2 linked regions of the Pelodiscus sinensis genome follow. The protein of the gene in region 1 interacts with the protein of each later gene in a pairwise test. Links are inferred from orthologs where the notes say so. Each region holds a gene or a part of one and is shown in the gene's direction. Other genes may lie near its edges.

The links.
Region 2: the proteins of ZMYND19 (region 1) and SAXO1 interact in binary tests that used the Homo sapiens proteins (3 or more experiments, as listed by UniProt). The two-hybrid records come from large-scale screens. The link is inferred for Pelodiscus sinensis from reciprocal best matches to the Homo sapiens genes ZMYND19 and SAXO1.

Annotation. Positions count from the first base shown.
Region 1 is NC_134732.1:1,204,201-1,207,948, reverse strand, and holds the start of ZMYND19 (zinc finger MYND domain-containing protein 19), read left to right. Parts: upstream 1-1,003; 5' UTR 1,004-1,147; coding exon 1,148-1,198; intron 1,199-1,404; coding exon 1,405-1,464; intron 1,465-2,601; coding exon 2,602-2,708; intron 2,709-3,748. UniProt on the Homo sapiens protein: May be involved as a regulatory molecule in GPR24/MCH-R1 signaling.
Region 2 is NC_134716.1:19,822,734-19,826,481, forward strand, and holds the start of SAXO1 (stabilizer of axonemal microtubules 1), read left to right. Parts: upstream 1-929; 5' UTR 930-1,099; coding exon 1,100-1,170; intron 1,171-3,748. UniProt on the Homo sapiens protein: May play a role in the regulation of cilium length. Stabilizes microtubules at low temperature.

The DNA of each region.
Region 1 (3,748 bases):
AGCAAGTACAAAGGGTCCTTCTACACAGTAGCACCTGCAAGACTTACCTTCAGAAATGGAAAAGATTCTTGAAGTGGTGTGTATGTCACCAGCTGGTTCCTTCGACATTCTCCTTACCTACCATCCCCAACTATCTCCTGCACTTCGCAATAAATTTCACCTTGCTCCTATCGCTACATTACACTCCAAGATAGACGACTTGTCCATATTTGCTCATCCACTCACCAAGAGGTTCTTAAAAGGCCTGCAGGCACTCTATCCAGATATCAATCCGCCAATGCAACCGTGGGACCTGCATTTGGTACTGAATGCTCTAACTAGACCAATGCCACCACCGCATTATTACACTTGTCCAGGAAAACTGTTTTCCTCGTAGGTCGGCCAGACGGGTAGGAGAGATTGCAGCCCTAATGGCAGATCCCCATACACCACCTTTTTAAAAGGCAAAGTCACGTTACGTACCCATCCTGCCACTTCTATCAGACAATTCCCCCTTCTCCACCAAACCACAGCCAACTCAGGCTCAGAATAGGCATGGAGCGCTGGATGGAGGTAGGGCAGGGGGTGCACCAAAGGATTCCCAGGACAACGGGGGGGGGCACCAAGGGATTCCCAGGACGACGGGGGGGGGGGGGGGGTGGTGCACCAAGGGATTCCCAGGAGGGGAGGGCAGGGGGGTGCACCAAGGGAATCCCAGGAGGGGAGGGCAGGGGGGTGCACCAAGGGAATTCCAGGACGACGGGGGGGGTGCACCAAAGGAATCCCGGGGGGGGGCAGGGAGCGCTGGAGGAAGGGGGCGGGGCGGGCGGGGCCCCCGCGAGGCGGGTGGCTGCGGCCCCTTTAAGCCCCGCCCCCCCGTTGCGTTGCTCCAGTGTTGGCGGCACAAAGCTTCCCGCGAGTGTGACGTCACCGTGCGTGCGCGCTGCCCCGCGTGACCCTTCCCAGCCCCGCCTTGCCATTGGGCGTGAGCGCGGCGTAGGGCGATGACGGAGGGCACGGCGCGTGCCGGGATTGGCTGAACGCTGACGGGTGGGAGGCGGCGTGCGGCCCCGCCCCCCGGGTGTGCGCGAGGCGGCGGCGCGTGGCAGCGGCGGCTCCCGGGCCCCGAGCGGCGAGCGCAGGCGGCGGCGCCGAGCCCGGCCCGGCCATGACGGACTTCAAGCTGGGCATCGTGCGGCTCGGCCGCGTGGCCGGCAAGGTGCGGCGGGCGCGCGGGCCCTGGCGGGCGGGGGCGGCGCCGCAGGAGCGCGGGATCGGGGGGGCCTCGCGCTTTGTCCCGCGGCGCCGCCTGGGCACGTGGCCCGGCGGAGGGGCCCTCGCGGCCCAGGCCCCGCCCCGCGCGGGGGGAGGGGGCGGGGCCCTCGTGCCGGGCGCTGACCTGCCCCCCCCCCCCGTGTGTTGCAGACCAAGTACACGCTGATCGACGAGCAGGACATCCCCTTGGTGGAGAGCTTCTCCTTCGAGGTGAGCCCCCCCCCCGGGCTGCAGGCGGGACCCCCCCCCCCCCGGGATGCAGGCGGGACCCCCCCCCCGCCGGGCCGGGCTGCAGGCGGGACCCCCCCTCTCCCCCCCGCCGGGCCGGGCTGCAGGCGGGACCCCCCCCCCCCCCCGCCGGGCCGGGCTGCAGGCGGGACCCCCCCTCCCCCCCCGCCGGGCCGGGCTGCAGGCGGGACTCCCCCTCCCCCCCCGCCGGGCCGGGCTGCAGGCGGGACCCCCCCCCCCGCCGGGCCGGGCTGCAGGCGGGACCCCCCCCCCGCCGGGCCGGGCTGCAGGCGGGACCCCCCCCCGCCGGGCCGGGCTGCAGGCGGGACCCCCCCCCGCCGGGCCGGGCTGCAGGCGGGACCCCCCCTCCCCCTCCGCCGGGCTCTGCTCGCAGGCGGGAACCCCCCCCCCCCCCCCCACCGGGCCGGGCTCTGCTCGCAGGCGCTGACTTGCACGTGGGTGTTCAGGCGGGTGGAGTTGGTTTAAAAACCTTTTGCCTGCAGGGAACCCCCGTTTCCCCTCCCCCCTCCCCTTCCAGCCCCGCTAGCAGCTGCTGTGGTGTGGCGAGGAAAACACAATAAATTCTGAAAAAACAAGAGTGGGCTCTGCGTGACTCCATGGCGAATGCCGACTCTCCCAGACGAATTTACAAGGCCCTTGTGCTACAGTATCCGAGTCACTCTTGTTTGTAACGTACTTATCTTACCAGCCTCCCTGTCCGCTTGGGAAGTACTCTTATCCCCATTTTACAGATGGTGAAGTGGTGACTTGCCCACTGTCTGGTGCAAAGCGGAGCGCTAGACTGGCACCCTAACCACAGGACCATCCTTCCTCTTTGCGCTCAGCATTTCTGCTGTGTGCAGTCTATTTCTTCCTTCTCCCCAATTTATCACATTTGTGCAGTAGCAGAATCCTTTGGTCTTTGTCTAATACAGAAGATTTAGATAACTAAAATCCCGTTGAGATGAAGTAGTATATAATCAGTTTCCTGCAGTTGTAGGGGGACAGATGATATCAGGTGTTGGTCTTTCCAGTATCCCATTTCCCAAAGGGAATGTTAAGCGCTTCTGCTGGCAGTTGGATGCCCTTGGTCACTGAACACTCTTTCCTTCTCTCCAGGCTCGGATGGAGGTAGATGCTGATGGAAATGGTGCTAAAATATTTGCTTATGCTTTTGACAAAAACCGAGGCAGGGGATCTGGCCGTCTGCTGCATGAGCTACTGTGGTAGGTGTTGTACAAAGAATTAATATATTAAAGGTTTCAGTCAGAGATGTAGCTTTTAACCTTCTGCTTGTTTGTGTGTTAAAAAGAATCTCCTGAAGTGGACTTGCTGCTAAATGCATTATGAACACTAACAGTGGGTGCAATTAGAGATTGTGTTGTGTTAAAAGGCTTAATGAAGAACAGTACCAATGTCTCTAAAAAGGTTGCTTATGGGAAGCTGCCTGAACTATGCCCATCTATACCCATAGTATAAACCTAGGCATTACTGTGATTTCTTTGTAAATATGGGCAAATATTAACTCTTCGGGTTCTGTTCACCCATCCTATGTAAGTGTAACTCCCAGTAGTACCAGTGAGATGTGACTGTCACTTGAGTAATGTAATTTTGTGTGTGTGCTCATTTGTGATTGGGATAGGAGAATGCTAATGGTTCAATATTATGGTGCTTTGTTTGCTATTAACTTTCAGTTTTGCACACTTCTTTGACTACTTGGGTAAGATTCAGTGCTTTAGATCCTCTGTCAGGCAAGGCAAGTCACTTGTGCCTCCTTGCTAAACACTTCACAGGCTGTCATTATCTATTGAATACTTTAAATTGATTATTTAACTTTGTAAAGTCTGTGTTCTCCTGTCTAATTATCTTGTAGAAACTTATTTTGCTCCCTCTCATAACAAGAGTAGAGCCTTTACTGTTATTGAAACAAAAGACAGAACTATGTAGCACTTTAAAGACTAACACCAGACTAACACGGCTGCATCCCTCTCACTATTTTACTGTTATTGGTGATTCAAAACTCAACTGAAAAATTTGTAGAAAAGATAACTGCTCCTGGTGAGAGAATCTTGAAGTAACACTGAAAGATAATTATTTTGAGATAAAAACCTATAGGTATTATTTGCTGGTCACCTCCTGTGAGTTTGTATTCTTGTTCCCCTAAATTGGAGTTGCCCAGAAATTAATCACTAAAACTTATTCCTTAAGGAGTTTTCTGACAAAACATTTATGTAACTGTTGGACCCCTTGAAGCCTTTTCTTCCCT
Region 2 (3,748 bases), on another chromosome or scaffold:
TCTAGCTATCAAAGAGAGGCACACGGTCTAATTTTTCCTCTAGCTACCAAAGCGAGGCACACTGTCTAATTTTCCCTTTAGCTCCTTTTCCTGCTGGATTCTGCCAAGGGCTGAACAAGGGTAGCTAAAGTTTAGGAAGGACTGGTGAACATCCAGAGGAAATGCAGGCTGACTGGGTGCAACGGGGCCAGATCAGCTACGGTTAATACACCACCTCCTGTTCAAAATGCTATCAGATGTTAAAAAGGTCACAAGCTTTTTGAAGCTTTTGAGTTAATCTCACCTAGAAAACTACTACTGCAGGGCTCCCTCCTAGAGGCTGAGGTAAGTCCTTCAAGAATGACCCAGAGAAGACCCGGCACAGGCGGACCGTGTTCACAACCAGCCTCTGCAACTTCCTTCCCGTAAACAAGCGAAAGGGGTAATGACAGAGGCTGTGCGTACCCCCCCCCCCCCCCCAGTTTTCACTTCGAATTCCCCGCTCCGGAGGCGGACAGGCCATTCTTATGCAGCACGCCTGCTCCACCCGCGGGCGGGACGGGAGCGCTAGTGATCCCATGTGTATCGCTGTCGAGAACAAGTGGTGTTTAAAACACTAGTGGCTACTAGAGACAAGTGTGCGTGTCCCCCCCGCCTCCCCCCAGCTCCCGGCAATAGTTCTAATTCCAGCAGGCCAGGCTCGAGTGTCCGGTCTAAGTGCCACTCCAGCCCCGACCCGCTTACCCCAGCCCAGCGCATTAAATGCCTCCGGCCCAGGGCCTGCACACAGCGGCGCTAGCTCGCCCGTGTGACCTCACAAAGGCTCCCGGGTGATCGCCTCGCGAGGCTGCAGCCCCCGGAGCCAGCAGCGCTGCTTAGGGCGGGAGGAGCAGCACGAGACGGAGCTGGGGGGGCGGGAAGCGGATCAGCTGTGCTATGTAGTTGCCTTAGTGCCGTTCTCACCTGCTGCGGCGATTCCGGCTCCCGGCCGGGGCTACCCCTGTCCCTTATAGGAACTTTCTCCGAAACACGCCTGCGGAAGGGCTGCTGGTCAAACTCTCCGTCCCAGAGCTTCCGCGGGGGCGAGAGACGGCGGATCTAGCTCCATCCCGTAGCAAGGATGTCTCCTCCCGTGACTCCGCCCAAGGCCCTGCCCACCAAGAAGTGCATTTGCCAGCTGTGCTCCTGCGGGTATGTAAGAGCTGGCCGGGCTGGCAGCAGCGATGTTAAATTCCCTGCGTCTGCGTGCCTGCAAGTGGTAGCAGGGCTGGCCTTAGCATGAGGCAGACTGTGGGTGGGGCGCCACTAGGACCCAGAGTGTAGAAAATTGGGTCTGCTGCTGGTGCGTGTGTATTCTCTCTGCCCTAGATGCACAGAGATGGTGGAGTGCTGTGCTGGAGGAAGGAGGGTACAAGAGACAAAGCAGGCAGGAGAAGAGGAGGAGGCATGGGGGCGTCATTTGAGCTCCCCGCCTCAGGTGCCAAAATGTTGTGGGTTGGCCTTGAGTGATAGGGAACTGCCTGTTGCTAAGACTTCACAGGGCTGGGTATGGGGGGGAGGGGAAGGAGAGCTGAGTAAAGGAAAGAGATGTTTGGATTTCAATCTTTTCTAAATAGTCTTATTAACATAGACAGGATGTCAGTTTTCCATGTGTATCCAGCGTGACTGTATTATTCTATTATTTATCAATTGTTTTATGTTCAAGAAGCAGTCCTGTGTCACCTTACAGACTAACAAAACTGTAGATGGTATCCTGAGCTTTGTGGGAAAAACCCACTTCTTCAGATGAAGCTCAGGATACTACCTATATATTTTTGTTAGCCTCTAAGGTGCCACAGGTCTACTTGTTGTTTTTAAAGTTATAGACTAACACAGCTACCCCTCTGAGACTTTGTTTTATATTGTAAAGTCACGTCTACATTTTTCAGTATTTCTAAACTTCCTTGTATGCAATTGAAACGTGCCTCCAATAAGAGAGCTTTAAACTGTTGGGCTCGAGCAGGGGGTGGGCAAAAAAGCCTCTACAGGCTGATTGTAAGTGCCGTGTGCCCCTTGCAGGATGGGGGCAGGGCGGGAGAAGACCCCGCACTTCTACCCTCCCCAGACCCTGATAGACCTGGGGATACGGGGAGTGCATGAAGTGAATTCCCACCCTGCCAAGGGCACGTGATTATTTAGAGTCAACCACCGGCTGCTGCTCAGCTGGCGGTTGACTCTATGCACAGTACCCCCTTGCAGGGAGTGGGCAAGGGAATGAGAGACTTTCCATGCTCCCTCTGCCCCCAGGTCATGATTGACTTGGGGGTGGGGGGAATGTGCAAAGTCTCTTCCTGATGCTAGGGGCTTAGGAGCCTAGAGGGAACTTCCAGCTGTTAAGAACAGCTGGTGGTTTTCTCTGGGGAGCGATGGGGGGAGACTTCATGTGCTCCCCTCACCCCCAGGCCATCCTGGTCTGTGGATGGGGAAGCATGGAAGTGTCATGGCTCCACCCCTTCTGCCTGGGGCCACTTCAAAAATTTCTGAAGTGGCCCCCTGTCTCAAGGTATTGCCTACCCCTGGGCTGGTGCCATTTTGAGGGACTGGTATTATTGTTACAGGTCTTTGATTTCCTGTTGTGAAAAGTGATAATGCTTCTAAAAAATTGCATGTTCCAGATAATATTCAGGAAGAAAACTGTAGAAATGGAGCAGATATTTAAAAAAACCCACTGTTCATTAGTGATTTTTCTAAATCTCAGTTATCCAATTATGGTTTTTCACAGCATTGGTCCAGAAAGAAATAACCAGATCTCCTTTTCTATAGGACCCATCCTCTGAAATCTGCAGACAAAAGAATAAGATTATAAATTAAAACAGTCAGTCTTTTTGACTTTTGCTCAGTTCCTATAGTTGAGCTATTGCCAGTTCAGAAAAGGATCAGGATATCATACAGGAAGATCTGGATGATCTTGTAAATTGGAGTGATAGCAATAGGATTAAATTTAATAGTGAGAAGTGTAAGGTTATGCATTTAGGGATTAATAACAAGAATTTTAGTTATAAGCTATGGACACATCAGTTGGAAGTAACGGAGGAGGAGAAGGACCTCGGAGTCCTGGTTGATTATAGAAGGACTATGAGCCGCCATTGTGACATGGCTGTGAAAAAGGCTAATACGATCTTGGGATGTATTAGGCGAGGTATTTCCAGTAGGGATAAGGAGGTGTTAGTGCCATTATACAAGGAATACTGTGTGCAGTTCTGGTCTCCCATGTTTAAGAAGGATGAATTCAAACTGGAACAGGTACAAAGAAGGGCCACTAGGATGATCCAAGGAATGGAAAACCTGTCTTATGAAAGGAAACTCAAGGAGCTTGGCTTGTTTACTTTAACCAAAAGAAGGCTGAGGGGGGACATGATTGCACTTTTTAAATATATTAGAGGGATAAATACCAGGGAGGGAGAGGAATTATTTAAGTTTAATACCAATGTGGACACAAGAACAAATGGATATAAGATGGCTAGTAGGAAGTTTAGACTTGAGATTAGACGAAGGTTTCTAACCATTAGAGGAGTGAGGTTCTGGAATGGCCTGCCAAGGGAAGTAGTGGGGGCAAAAGATCTGTCTGGTTTCAAGATTAAACTAGATGGGTTTATGAAGGGGATGGTTTGATGAGATAACATGATCTTGGTAGCTAATTGACCATTCATTATCAGTGGGAAATAGGTCAATGGAGGGATGATAGGAGTTACTATAGAGAACTTTCTGGGTGCCTGGCTGATGAGTCTTG